2 linked regions of the Alligator mississippiensis genome follow. Each later gene encodes a partner of the first gene's protein in a complex. Links are inferred from orthologs where the notes say so. Each region holds a gene or a part of one and is shown on either strand. Other genes may lie near its edges.

Evidence for each region.
Region 2: the proteins of DFFB (region 1) and DFFA are in contact, whole or in part, in an NMR structure (PDB 1F2R), measured with the Mus musculus proteins. The link is inferred for Alligator mississippiensis from reciprocal best matches to the Homo sapiens genes DFFB and DFFA. Residues at the interface, in NP_031885.3 of Mus musculus: Cys10, Lys12, Arg14, Ala19, Cys20, Lys21, Phe22, Gly23, Val24, Ala25, Ala26, Arg39; in NP_001020467.1 of Mus musculus: Asp66, Thr68, Ile69, Val70, Asp71, Asp72, Asp74, Tyr75, Trp94, Tyr96, Asp100.

The regions. Positions count from the first base shown.
Region 1 is NC_081836.1:16,294,077-16,301,632, reverse strand, and holds the start of DFFB (DNA fragmentation factor subunit beta), read right to left. Parts: upstream 3,146-7,556; 5' UTR 3,119-3,145; coding exon 3,005-3,118; intron 2,800-3,004; coding exon 2,673-2,799; intron 1,870-2,672; coding exon 1,681-1,869; intron 1,028-1,680; coding exon 948-1,027; intron 746-947; coding exon 575-745; intron 1-574. Other genes in the region: CEP104 (centrosomal protein of 104 kDa), read left to right, coding at 4,099-4,211, 4,997-5,170, 6,486-6,624, 7,512-7,556. UniProt on the Homo sapiens protein: Nuclease that induces DNA fragmentation and chromatin condensation during apoptosis. Degrades naked DNA and induces apoptotic morphology.
Region 2 is NC_081836.1:11,399,435-11,406,802, forward strand, and holds the start of DFFA (DNA fragmentation factor subunit alpha), read right to left. Parts: upstream 3,077-7,368; 5' UTR 3,010-3,076; coding exon 2,868-3,009; intron 1,917-2,867; coding exon 1,755-1,916; intron 1,098-1,754; coding exon 964-1,097; intron 1-963. Other genes in the region: peroxisomal membrane protein PEX14, read left to right, coding at 5,406-5,441. UniProt on the Homo sapiens protein: Inhibitor of the caspase-activated DNase (DFF40).

The sequences.
Region 1 (7,556 bases):
TCTCTGCAACAAGCTTGCTCTCTTCTCTGCCAGAAGCATGGTCTTTTTAAAGTTGACCAAACTGTGCCCTGTCCCTGCCCCCACCCCTGGTATGCTGATATGCAGTGAGCATACTTTCAATCTGACCCAGTGCTTTCCATCAGCCCAAATGGGGTTTTTTTGTTAACCAAAAGAGCTGCACTCTAATGTTCTGACTGGGTCCAGCAACACAACACTTCATAAAAGAACCAGTCAACTTTAAAATGATGGTGCAAGGAAATGAATTACTTAGTTTGCCCCCAGCCCTAGTTATTGATACTGAGAGCTTGTCACAATTTGCTACTATGAAACGTGGATGCTTCAAGTCCTTCACTAAAGCCAGTTTCAAATACACCTGTAAAACAGAAGAACTTGTGGCTAAATATGGCTGGCAGTATAAGCTACTGTGGATAAGTCACTTTTTTAATTTCAGCTTCATACTTGGCTGCTACCTACAGGCTTTTTCTCCACAATCCCCAATAACACTTACTTTCTTAAGTGTGTTTATAAACTCCAATAACCTACATGCTTGTTCAGGTGTCTGTTTTTAACTTACCTGACAAGAGAACCAGCCCTCCGAGGTGCAAATGCGGGCTGCTGCCTCTTCTCTTCTGTCAAAGTAACATCCATTATATTTCACAGATCTCAGTTTGTCCAACATAAGGTCACTGATGCTTTTATATATGGCTTGCGCTGTTGGATGAACAGCTGAAATATAACTGCTAACCTTTTTGGGGAGAAAAAAAAAACAGTAATTCCTCAGATGATACTTATTGCCCTCTGAGCTTGCTTACTAAATCCAGTATACTTTTGTGTAGTATTTGGATAAGGTGGTTCCCACAACTGCCCATGGAAAAAGTTATTGGCTAGCTAGGTCTAATATAAAGTACTCTTTTTCAGCTAGTTTGAAAATAAACTGCACATTTTACCTCTTTCATGTAACTTCGTATGCGGCTTTCACAACCGTACCTCATGTAACTCGATTTATTCCTAAACCGAGGCTCTATACCTACAAGGAATAAAAGAATACATCACAGCTTGTTGACAAAAATGTTCAGTTGCCTCTGTTTTCTTAGGAAACCAGATGACTTGTGTGTGAATTTTTTCTGTCCTGTTTCAATGTGCCTGCTCTGGGCCAGGACTGCCAGACTAGTTAACCTATATAATCACTCAGTATATACAAAGGGGGAAGAACATCAACCTAGAACATTTAATATTTACAAGTAAAGTGTGGGTTGAAAAGGAATGGGAGCCTGGTAAGAGGAAATAACTCAGCACTGCAGCGAATTCCTTGATGGATTTAGTGCTTAGCAGGAAGACAGGTGGGGAGCAGAGAGGGATCTTTGTTGGGTCATTTTAAAATAAGACTTAACATAGTACTGGAGGTCATTCACCAGTTATATATCAGAAAATGTGAAACATAGTTATGTGAATAAATGTACACTAACCTATAATGGCTGGACCACTGTACCCTTCTGGGGAGTAAAATTTACCAGACTACACCAAGGATAAGAGTAATTCCCTTAGGAGAGTAACAAAGAAGTGCAAATGTAAAAAGATTAAAATTGGTTGTGGGGGTGGAGATGTCAAGGGCCCATGTTTGACTGCAATCCAAAATAAAATTCATTGTGTGAAATTCTTAGTGGAGGTGTATTGATTTACCATCAAACCACTTTTCGTCTTCCTCTCTGTCTTCTGCCACAATATTTTCACTTAAGTTATGAATGAGATCCAGTAGCAGCTTCTGTGTCATGGGAGCCTGTTTATCAGATAGCAGCTTCTGGGCAGCCTCAACAATGTCATCTTTTCGTTTGTAAAATGCATTTAGGAAGTGGCTAACATCACTGACATCTGGATTTTTGAATGAAGAAAAAAGGTTCTGTTACTCTTAGATGAATGCACCTTGTCCAAAGTATTTTTGTGGTGGGTTTTGTATTCTACCCTCAAACAAGTAATCGGGAACTGTATAAACAGGTCATTAGTAAGAGGCTGTTTTTCCAACATTTGTTTCTGATTTAACACAACATTTTGGGATTTACTGCTAAAACTCCAGATTTTTTCCTCTCAAGAAGGCAAGGAAACCTCCCTTTATGGACAAATTCTACCTTCCCCCTAGCCACGTTCAACAGCACTTTGCCCTGTGAGCCACGCCTTACTCTGCAAGTAGTCACTGAAATCAGGTGAGCAAAGAAAGGAATCAGAAATCTGGCTCACCAGGCATTAGAGCAGGGTCTTAGCAGGCAGTCAGGTGCCCAGATGGAAAAGGAGGGGGGAAGAAATCCTCCCACTGTTCTCTTCCGACAGCATTTCCTTAAACAATAACACCTCGCTAATAACGACATGAGCAAGTGCAGTTTCTTTGTTTTTAATACAAGGAAGCAGAAAACTAAGCATAATACACCCAACTGTACTTTTAAGTTGATACGTGCCCAGCTTACGTTCAGTGCTGTACTCCTCTACATGTCGAGCAGTATTCGGTGATGCAGTTTCAGCTCTGCCATCCCTTTTTGGGAACTAATGAAGCTTTTGTGCATCATTTTGTTGCAACAGGGATGTAGACTGAGTAAAACGTGATGTGCTGAATCTTAATCATAAGCTAACCACCAAAAGCTTTCGCTTCCTCTTTGGAATTAAACCGAAGTGTTCCTACTTACACCCTTGCCAGGTCTCCCCTGGGGCTAGTAATACAAGGTCTGTATTATCTGGCATGTGGCGGAAGTAGCTTTCGGTCACTTCTGTCGCGTCCTCGTACAGACAGGCCCGACAGCCCCGCGCAGGAAGCTGTTTAATGAAAGCAAACAAACCCGGGTGTTTTCCGTTTCTTGAAGGTCAGCAAACAACAGGCAAGAGGAAATCTGCAAAGCTCAAGTTGCTAAAGAAAGGGAGACAAGTCACGGACCACGCCAGCTCCTCCCCGCCGCTTGCTTTCCCCGATTACAAGAAACAGACATTTTTCTGTTGCAAAGCCCCGGGGCGGCGCGCAGACCTGCAGCAGCTTGGCCCCCTTGCGCAGCAGCTCCCGCAGGCTCGCCGCCGCCACCCCGTACTTGCGCGCGCCGCGCAGCCCGCGCACCTTGGCGAGCCGGACCTGCGGGGTCATGGCGCGGCCGGGCCCCAGTGCGCATGCGCGCAGGCAGCGCGTCCGCGCCCGGGATGTGCTGAGGGGGAGCGGCGCATGCGCCCCGGGACTGGTACGCATGCGCGGGGTGTGCCGGCTGGTTGCCATGAGAGCCGGGGCCCGGGGGTGGCGCCGCCGTGGAGGTGAGACGGGCCCCGCCGGGCGCTCACCACGGGGTGTTTTCTGGCCGCTGGGCCTCCCGCCCGCGGTGGTCTCCTCGGCGGCGGCGGCGCGGCGTGGGCCCGGGGGTGGCTGGGCGGGCGGGGGTGCTGCTGCCCGGTGAGCAGCGCGGCTCTGTCCGCAGGCCCCGGGGCCGAGCGGGCGGGTGGGTGCTGCACCTGGGCGTCGACCCGAGACGGGCCCGGACGACGCGGACCGCGGCTGTGGCGGAGGAGCCGGCCGCTCGTTAACGAGACGGGTGTCGGCTCCTCTGCCCCCACCCGGCCCCGGCCCGCTGAGACGGCGCGGTGCGTGGGTGGGGGTCTGACCCCGGAGGGTTTCCAGGAAAGCCTCCTCTTGGCCGTCCCTTCCAGCCCCCTTTCCTCCTCTCTGCCGTATTTTAATTCTGCTGCAAAACTAATCCTGAAGCATTTTGTTGATGCTCCCTGTATTAATGGAAATGGCTTGAGAAGCCCCTAGGAAGTGCCCAGAAAAAGCTGTTTAGAGGAAATCCTGGCACTGAACAAATATTTAAGGAATCCATCTGAATGTTCAGGTTTCTTTGCCTTTATTAGAGGAGGCTGGTAAAGTTACCCCCAAACTACTGATATTTATTTATACAAAAAATATGTCATAGGTCCTTAAACTAAATCCGAATGTGCCAACAGTTCTTAAAGAAGAGCCATTCAAGTAAGCGGCTCTCCCTCCAAGTACAGACGGCAAGTCTTGTAATTGTTGCTGTCGTGGTGTTTTGTTTACGTGTCGATCACATAGTGTTTTTACCGTTCTGTTTTGAATGCAGGATGCCACACAAGGTTGGGTTTGTAGTTCTCAGTTCATCAGGACATGAAGATGGCTTCAGTGCAAAGGAGCTGATGGTTCATGCACCAACAGTTAATGGATGGAGATCACCAAGGTACCAAAAGTGATAAAAGCTCTTAATATTTTGTAAAAAGTATTAAATACAATTCATTTACAAATGAGAGAAAAAAGCAGTCAACAAGTTAATCTCTTTTAACCGGGTCTTAAATTTTGATTTCTTGGGTTTATTTAATCATCATTGTAGGATTATGGTTTTACATAACTTCTTGAACTTCAGATGAAATACAAAGAGCTCCTTAAAGTTCAGTACCAATTCTGTGAACTGCTTCAAGCAGCCTCTTGCTCAAATGAGTCCCTTTCAAAGTCACGTTCCTATCCGGAACAGCTTACTGGCTCAGGAAATAAATTTTCCTTGAACTGTCAACCAAGTTGCATATTTCTATTCATCCTGTTCAATCTTCATCCTCAAAAAACAAGCCCCACTGCTCCCACCCCCTGTACAATCAGAAGTACCACCAGTTTGAAATCCAGTAATTTAAAAAAAAAAAAAAAGTATTCTCAGGCAATCCATCTGTTGCTAAGTAACCCTGCCAATTTTTTAGTAAAGCAATAAGCTGGTCCTTAAACTCTTAAAATGTTTTTCAGTTTCCTGCAAAGGTCCATGTAGCCAGAAGGGCAGGGTCTGTATATATGCACTGCAAGCAAGGTACCACACGCACGCAACTGAAAAGAAGATTTTTTTTTTTTTGTATTGTAGTCTTTAGAATCTTAAGGTTTATAAGTAATTGTGATAGCTAAATGATTGCAACACAAAAATGTGATTGAAAATGGCAGTAAATCTTTAACATGATGACTACTGCGAGTTCTGTTCACTTCTAGACTCTGTCAGTACCCACAAGAAATTGTCCTTCAGATGGTGGAGAGATGTCGTGTTCGAAAGCTGCAGCTGCTCGCGCACCAGTACATGATCTCAAGTAAAATTGAGTTTTACATTAGTGAAAACCTTCCTGAATACTTTGCACCTTACCAGTCGGAACGGTTTCGAAGGCTAGGGTAAGTCAAGAGACAATCTGGTTCTGTTCTTTGAACCAGAAAGGAGTGGAGTGTACATGTTAGCCTTGGGTGAAATGTTGCTGAGATATTTTCCAAACAGTGAAATAGAAATTCTGCCCCAGGATGTCCCTGTGGAACCCCAAAGTAATAAAGTAGAAGACAGTGGGTGGGTACTTGAGAACAGAATTTTGCTGTCTAGTCTTTTCTGTGGGCTTAGATTAAATGTAAATTTAGATATTTTGGAGGCTTATTGGCTGACACTTCTGTGCACGTCTCATACGCACGTGGAGAAAGCATGCTCATTCTTTTCCTTTCAGTGACTCACGGGGGAGACGTATTGAATACTTTTTTGTAATGTGGCAGACAAGGTTCTTTGGGTAAATGTGATATCCTTTATTAGACCCATTAAATAGTTGGACATTTATTATTTGCAAGCTTTTGGGCACAAACACCTTTCTTCCAGCATAGGGAGAGACTGCTGGTGTTTGTGCGCTCTCCTAAGCCAATATAAAAAATGCAGGTCTGAAAATGCAAATGCATGGCAGGAAAGATCAGAAGGGATGGGAGATAATAGGTGGGGACAGGTAGGTTGGTGTGGGGAGAAGGGGAAAGGAGGGAATGTTGACCTGGTGATAGAATGCAGCTGGTATCGCATCATATTTATCCAAGGTCCTTGTCTGCCTATGTGCTTTGACTAACATGTCTATAACCAACACCCCTGAAACATGGAAGATGTAATTTTTTTGTAATGTGGTAGCTCTTAGAAGCATCTGTCATCATTTTGACTCTCCCAGGCACAAACAGAAAACCAATGTGGTCCCTTCCTGAAATAGCTTGAAACTGATGTTTATAACTACATTAATATCATTATGTATGGAAGTTTTCGGTGCCTTGCAATTCTAGGGGAACAGTGATTGTTGATTGGTTTGATGCATCTCTCTAGTCCAGTATTGTTTTAATACTGAGGCATATTTAATGCCACAATGTTTCTTTAACATATTGGTTCCAGTTCTTCAGTGGCTTCTGTTTATGTAGAGACTTGGGCAGAGAATCCACGTACACACTTTCTCAGTTTGGGACCAGAGCTACTGTGTTTATTCAACTCCAAAGCCTACTGAAGCGAGTGAAAAGACACCTGCTAACTTCAAGTGGCTACTAAATTAGTTTGTAGAGCTGCTTTTAAGCAAAAAGGCAAGGGTACAACATCTTCAACTGGTGTTCTTTGGTTTAGTTCTCAGGGGAGTTTTACAGCCCATCAAAATATACCTTGCCAACTTGCATGCTTTTTACAGTTAATCTGTTTTTTCTCCCACAGTTATGTATCCCTATCAGACAATGAGAAGACTGGGTACAAAGCACGGGAGCTGAAATCAGTGTATGTGGATGCAGTTGGACAATATCTAAAGCTGACTTTTCATAAAAATTATGTCAATAGGTACAACTTGTATGGGCAGGTGAGAGGTGTTTATGTAATTACTTTAACATTTTAGCCGTGTATGACGGCCATAGAGAAATTCTCCATTAATCATTAAAAGTACAAATTCCATTGGGAAGTTGGTTAATGCAACTGAGCAATTTTCCAAGGAGCAAGAAGAAAAACAAAAAAGATGGGGTTATAAAGGATTTTTGTATTATATTTTAGATATAATGGTAAGAACTGTACTTTGGTGGACAAAGTCAAGTGCTCTTTGTACCTCAAAAGCATAGATGGTATAAAAGTTCTCCTGCTGAATGCTTTAAAATAGGAAGTTCCTCCATTTCTCTAGAATAAATATATCTAAGATGCAAGCTAATATAGCCAAAACAAACCCTTTGAGGGTAAAATGCATTTAAAAACCTCCTCTGCTGGTATTTTGTTCACTACAAAATATCTTTCAGTCACTAAGATATGATATTTCTTGTTAGATAGAATAGATGAACTTCTATCCAGATTGAGAAGGTGTCTTTCTAAACTTGATAGTTACTAATACATATTTAAACAGTGAATAATTTTGGCCAGCTGCATAAAACAATCACTGGTCAGTGATTGAATGGCTGAGAGAGAAAAATAATATCTAAAAGGTGTGGCTGAGGCTGATTTCATGCATGTGCTTTCCATTTCAATTTCAGCCTAAGATGTGGTCTTTTAAAATACAGTTTAAAGAAATAGCATAATTTCCAAGCTCTAAGGAACCTAGGGAAACATGAAAATATTAGAATTATGTAGCTCAATATTAACTTTTACTTTTTGAAAAATATACTCCAGGGGGGTCAGCAAAACTTTGTACAATGTTTGGGTCTTCATAAAATAGGTAAATTCCAATGGCCTTCTGTATTCATGTTTCTTTTAATTCTATCTTAGGTTGCTCTAGTAGCAATAAATATAATTGGGGAACCTGCCGACTCT
Region 2 (7,368 bases), about 4.9 Mb from region 1:
ATTGTTAAATAAGCACCATAAGGTGCTGTCACCACAACCAAATTCTACTACATGCCAATGTAAAGAGGCAGGGAGTGGTCTAGCTTATAAGTGGTTTGTTCTTGTGACTGACACTGGTTAGGTAAGAGTGACTAGACTGCTGCCAATCCAGTCTGCCCTACTGTCTGACACCAGAAGCAAGCATCATGCTTTGATGGGGAGCCTATTTCAGTTGCTGGCTGAGCAGCCCTTTAGTTCTTTCTGTGGGGAGAGCAACTGGGGCCCTCATAATACAGCTCCCCATCAGAGCCTCCCTGCAGAAAAATAGTCCTAGCAAGTCTATTGAGCACCAAGTCCAAACAAGGCAGAAGATTTTATTTTCTTGACTTTGGGTACTCTGGCAGGGGTGGGACTTTCATATGACCTAGCCAAAAGGCAGGGTCAAACTGGTCAAAACCTCAAACTGGAGCCTGAGGCAGGTCAATCAGCTGGAGATCAGGAAGGAAAGAACATGCCACATCAGTAGGGATGGCCAGGGTGGAACAGCCACAACCTTCAGGGCCAATACAGACCAAAAGGACAAGTAAAGTTGGAGGGCAGGGAAGGAGTTAAGAATTTAGCAAGCAGTCAGAAAGAAGGATGTTGCATCACCACAGAAAGATGAGGAGGAAAGAGGAGGATGGTGTTAAGTGTGGAGGGGGAGGGATACTGAGAAGAGATGATGAAGCAAGAGAAGAAATGGTCCCAGGAAAGAGCACTGTCTAGGGGAAGGACAGAATAATCTGGAGCTTGCACTACCAATCAAGTGCATGTTATCCCCAGAGCTGAACTTCATTTCAGCACCAGAGCAAGCCAACTGCAGTTGAATTTGGACAGGCTGATAGATTTTGCTTTCCTACATTTTCACCCACTACTAGTAAAACCAAAAGGCACTGAGTGGGGAGAAGGATGGTAGGCAGATTTCTGTAGTAGTTCTCATTATACCTGAAGGTCTTCCTCAGACATCAAAATGATGCTGGACAAGTCATCTTTCAGCTGCCGGGCCAGGTGTTTCCACTTGTCTTCACTGGTGTCCACTTCATCCATGGATTCTCTTGAGAGCCAGGCTGTGCCCCCATCTAACATGACAGACATAACCAGAATCACAAGACTAAGAAACTCAAGGTTGCAAAGAGAGTGACAACAAAATCCAGACAGATCCGTGTGGGGAGCTGTCCATTGGGAGTATAGCAGTTATGTATAATAGAGGAAGCAGTGTCTGGTCTATGAGCTATTGATGTTTTCTTGCCCTTGAGTTGGAATCCTAGCTACAAAACCTACACTGCAATTATGGGAAGTGTTTAAAATGCTGCTTTCAGAAGCCATTCATGAGCTGTAGTCTCTTGGGCTGACCCATCTGTGTGACTGATTAGAAGGGCAATGTAACATTTAAACTTTTTTTTTCAGTTGTTTTCTTGGTGCCTATCAAGATGCATGAAGGCAGACTTGTTCCAGAGCTCACATATTTTCTCCCCACCTCTTCATTGCTGTCATCTGCCTTTCCTACATTTACCAGTATGAGTGTATTCATGTAGATGAACAAGATGATTTTTTTTTAATGTAGCAGAAGATTAATATCACCTGTCCATAACAGGTTCTCTCTTCACACCTAAGAAGATGGAATGCAGAAACCATTTCTAAAATGGGCGTCCAGCAAAGAGCCCTCGGTCCAACGTAAGCAGATGATTTTATTTCTGGGACATTCACAGACAAGCTACCACCATCACCCTCAGTACCTAGACTCCTGCTGGACCACTTTTCGTTTCGGGCCAATGCCACAAACTTGGTGTTAGCCGGTAAGCACAGGAAGTAATCTTCATCATCCACAATGGTGCCATCCTCTGCCAGTACTAAAGTGATGGGTTCCCACGTCTTGTCAATGGCTAGAACGTCACAGGCTGCAGGAGAGATCGTTTATTTTTATGAATCAAGGATGCAAGACAGCCTTGGCAGCTACAGTAGGCATCGCTTGTCCAGCACCACATGTCTGACCCCGTCAACACATGTGAGGGAATGGAGCGCCTATGATAAACACGTCACAAGGCAGCAATCCAGAGAGGAAAGCCCAAAGCAAGGAGACATGAGATCAAGGTACTGTTTTGAACACTTACAAACTCCACACGCGAGCCAAGCCTACTCAGTCATCAGGCAGAAGAGCAAAGGCTAAGTACACACAGCCTGGGATCTCCAAAGCAACTAGTGTAGATTTAGCCAAAGCAATTTCGTTCTCTAATGGAGCTTAGAAATCTTTAATGCAATTACAGAGTTTAACCTTTACCACGACATGGGCTGTATTTTGGAAATGCTGATGCTGGCATGTGCAGCACTTGGCACCTCGGTGCCTCTGGGCACGCAAGAGGTGTAGTTGTGCCAGGCTCCTTGAACTTAGGGAACGCGGCAATAGGTCCCGACATCCACCTCGTTCCCGAGCCAGGTGGCTACGCACGCCCGGACCCTCCTCGCGCAGCCAGGAGCTGCACGTCGCGGCGCTCAAGGGTCACACGCTCAAGCCCCGCTCCCGGGGGGCAGCTGCCCGGGGGAAGTTCCCAAGGGCACATTTCCAATCCCATGCAGCCTGGCGCCAGCTGCCAAGACACCCTGCTGGGCAGCGGGTTTCCGTTGAAGGGAGCTGCACCCCATGCTTCCCCCCCAACCCCATCACTTCCCCCACTACACCTGCCCTGCCCCCACCCTCGGCTCCTCCCACTTACACCTCTCCCCTCCCCCTCAGAGGGTCCCTGCCTCGCCCCCACCCTTGGCTCCTCCCACCTATGCACCCGCCACCCACCCTCAGGGTCCCGTCCCGCCCCGCCCCCCACTCTTGGCACCAAGCCCCGCCCTCAGCGCACCCTTACTGCGCAGCTCCCGGAGGCAGGACACCGCCACCCCGTGCTGCTCCCGCTCGTGGTTCCGCCGGATCAGGCACTGCTTCCGCGAGGGGACCGCAGCACCGCCCTCCCCGCCGCCGTCCCGCGGCCCCGCTGCTGCCATGGCCTCCCGGCCTGAAACTGAGGCAACGGCCAATGCACTGCATCCGCTACCCTAGCGCGGTGCACGCCGGGACCCGCCGGCCCGCACCGCGAGGTATGCTGGGACGTGGAGTCCTCCCCTCGCATCATCGCTGGTGCTTCCGCGCTCTCCGTTGCCCCGGTGCCTCCTGGGAGATGTAGTCCCAGTCCGCCGGGCTCGTCCGCCCCTTGCCCGCCCGCCCGCCTTAAAGAGACAGGAGCACGAGTGAGTTACCTTCTAGTCCCCGGCTGTCAGGCTCTGCAAGGTGTTTCTTTGTCAGGGTTGGAGTTTCACAAGACAGGGCCCAGCTCTGATCTGCTAAGGGCCGGGGTTCTTATCAGCTAAACATGCACAGGCACAATGCAATAATATATACACATAGGCAGGGAGGTTCTCTGGGTACATATGATATCTTTTGTTACACCAACTAAATAATAAATAAAAATGAATAGTACAGACACATGGCATTGTCAGCATCAAGAATGCAAATGCCATGAGTCACATCCTCCCCGCGATTTGTTACAAAGACTCGCTAATAACACATTTAGGCTCTTTTTTTAAAATGATTTTCGGGTTTTGAGTCTTTAATGTAAGCTTGATGGTGTTTTCCACCTTTTATGCACGGCAGTGAGGTGATGGCTGCAGGGTTGGGGGTTTTTTAATGAAAGCTGAAATCACTTGACTCCAGGACTTCAGGCTTTAAGAAAAAAACCCAACAGGGTGAGGTACCTGCAATTAAGTTGTGACTGTTGGCAAGAGTGCAAATGTATATAAAGCAGGGTGCTACCATAACAAAACATAAAAATAGTGAAATGTATTTGTAGTGCATTGTGTTTTGCACATGAATTAATAAATAGAGTTATAAAAAAGTGCATCTGCTCTGAACTATAATATACACAAAGAAGAATATTTGCACAGCAAGGAATCACCTCTTGCAAACATCAGTATAGCCCAAATATGCCAGGAAGGAGCTCACGATGCAGGTAAGATCTACACTCACTTGAGTAGTCCAGTGAAGTCAAGAATAAAGTTACACACTTGCAGAGTTTGCAAAATCTGACTCATTATTTGTGCTTTTTAGCACATGGCAGACTTCTGGGAGCTATACAAATGAAATAATAATGAATAATAAATAGTCGTGTGTAAACAAAAACAAGGAAGCGATACACAGCGAGCCAAAAACTTCACCACTGAAATCAATAAGACTTTTGTCAATGGTTTAAGTGGTGCAGGAACAGGCTTTTAAATCCTTTTTACGGAGTTTAATCGAGGGCCTGATATTGTACTCGTTCCCGTTGATAGTACTATTGCTTTACTCATGAAAACAGCCCCACTGAAGTCAGCTGACTGGAGCAGGCAGGATTTGTTGCTGTGCTGCAACCAGTAATTGTTACGGGATTGTGACCGACTTTAATCCTGCAAGCTAAACTGTGCAGGCAAGTTCTTAGCGCATAAGTTGTTTGAAATGCATGTTGTTTATAATGGGAGATAACAAATATGGAGCATGCACCATGCATAGGTGTGAACCATCAGTGATTAATAACTGACAGTGGACCTTGCTTTCAAAGACCCTGCAACCAGAGCAAAGCCATCAGTGATTAACAACTGACAGTGAACCTTGCCTTAAAGACCCTGCAGCCAGAACAACGTCAGCATTGATGTGAAGGCCTAGGTTGACAAGGGTCTTTGGGTAAATGTGCCGGCTGCTTTACTAGGCAGGCAAGGTTCTTTGGGTGAATCTGATATCTTTTATTAGACCAACATAAATAGTTGGAAAACAATTTTTAAGCAAGCTTTTGGGCTCAAAAACCCTTTGTCAGGCTGAGGAAGTTTCAGCAGTTGGTGCGTGCTCTTCCTGGATGGAATAAAAAGTGGTTTACTATTCATTGCGCCCAGGAAGAGCACACACCAACTGCAGATGGATTTGGAGTTAGTTTTGGCTAATTTGACCGCAAATACAAATTAAATTAAAAAAAAAATAGATGCCTTTTCACCCTGTCAAAGGGTATTTATGCCCAAAAGCTTGCAAAGAAAAATGTTCCCAACTATTTGAGTTGGTCTATCTAATAAAAGAGATCAGATTTACCCCCAAACCCTTGTCTGCCTATGCCCTTAGACCAACACAGCTACAACCTACACCCCTCTCTTTTCTTAGAGTTGGTCTAATAAACATGTGGAGCCCTCTTCATGCTGATTAGCGTTGATATCTTTAACGCTCGCAGGAAAACGACCCTCGTCCAGCTCTGGGGCTCAGTCTGAGATGGGCAGACTCAGGTCGATCGATAGCGGGGCGGTCCGCTGCTTCTGCCTGAGGCCGGCGGGGCGCGGGAGGTGTTCCGAGCGGCCGAGGCGGGGATGGATTAGCCGGGTCTGGAAACATGGCCTCCTCGGAGCAGGCAGAGCCGCCCAGCCAGGTAAGCGGCGGTGGCGTCTTCCCCCCTCCCCCGCCGGGGCCGCGTCCCCCAGGCCGCAGGGGCGCGTGCGACGCCTCCTCCCCCGGCGCCCCTGAGGCGAGCGGGGTAGGCCGCGGGGCCTCCCGCCGTGGGGCCCGGGCACCCCCCTGGAGGCGGGGGCGGCTGCGTGTGGCCCGGCTGCTGGAGGAGCAGCGCCTCGGGGGGCCCGAGTGGCCTCGCCTGCGGCGATCGCGGGCTCCAGTGAGGTCTCAGGTGGCTGGAAACAGTCACCCCTCCCCCCCCAAAGTGGGTGAGAGGCGAAGCACTGTGCCCATTGGGGGCCCTCCCCACCCGAGCCGGTGCCACGACTCGCCAGCTCCTCGAAGAGCGCGAGGGGACGAGTCGTAGCCAAGGTGGGGTCGTCAAAGGCGATGGCAGCCTCGTGACGGGGGCAAGCAGCGTGTGAGGGACCCTGTGAGCGAGCAGCGTTGCAGGGACCTCTCGCGAAGGAGGAGGCTACAGAAATAAGAGCTGCCGTAGGGTCGATGCGCGCAGCGGACTGGATCGTCAGGCTGGTGGGAGTCGTCTGCGGCTCTGTCTCCGACTGGGGGCAGCGTCGAGTGGGTCTGGCATCTGTCCCAGTCTTTTGCCAGGCGTGCGTCCTGGTCTCGTACTGTTCTGTGCTTTAATTAGTAACCTGGATGATAGAGCCGAGTGCGCGCTTATTAACTCGGAGGACGAGACCAAGCCTCATGGGCAGAAGAAACTTTGGAGGGAAAGGTTGAGGATTTAAAATGACCTTGATAACTTGGGGGGGTGGGGGAAAGTGTGAAATGAAAAGGATAATATTCAATAAGGAATAGTGCAAGATAATGCACTTTGGAAGGAGCAATTAAATGCAAAATGACGATTGACTAACAGTGTTGCAGTATTGCAGAAAAAAAATGGAGAACTGGCTGTACTGGGTCACGGTTTGAATGTGACCGAACAATGTCGTAGTGTGGAAACGAGCTGTTGTCACACTGGAATCTATGAACAGGAGCGTCTGTGCCGGACACGAAAAGTGGTCAGCGCTGGTGAGGTGCTTTATCCACCCCCGGGCACTTTGAGAGACGCGCGGACCAGTTGAAGAGAGTCCAGAGGAGACCGGCAGGCGTGGCTAGATATCTTGACAATATTACGTATAACAAAAGGTTGGAAGAATTGGGGTCGTTTAGTGAAAGAAAGAAGGCTATGATACAAGGGGGATTTGAGAACAATCTTCGGATACAAAAAAGGTCTGTTATAAAGAGCATGGTCGTTAGTCATTCTCTGTGGTCACCTGGGGCAGGACAAGAAGTCATGGATGATTTAGATTGGATATTAGGAATAATGGTCTAACTCTGAAGGTGTTTAAGCAGTGAAAGAGATCATTTAGTGAGGCAGTGGAAGAGATCATTGAAAGTGTTTCGATGCAGTTACACAACACTTGTTTAGGTTGATTTAGATGCAAGAGATACTGCCTGGTGTAGGGGCTTGGGTTAGATGACCTCCAGATTCCTTCTAGCCCTGGTTTTCTATAATTCAGTGATAATGAGAGACAAGGAATAGAAAATATGCTTCAGCTGGGATTTGAAATGAGGTGGAGCGTTGGTAAAGAAAATAAGAAGCAACAGGAGCAGCTGTGGAGAAAGCTTGGGCACCAACAATGTGCAAGGCCTTTTCTGTGAGGAGTTCAATGTAAATGTCTTCACAAACCAAGTGTGAAGGGGAGTAGTGGTACATAAGGCTCAGGAGACAGGCTCTGGCAAAGCCAAAGAGGGTATTTAAAAACTATGGGGAGAATTTTTATTTTAAACTGGATCCTGAAGTGAATGGGGAAGCCTGCAGAGGAGATGGAGAGCTTGAGCTATTGTTTATACACGCAGGTTTACCTGTGATGGTACCTGTGGAAACCACAGAGGAGGAA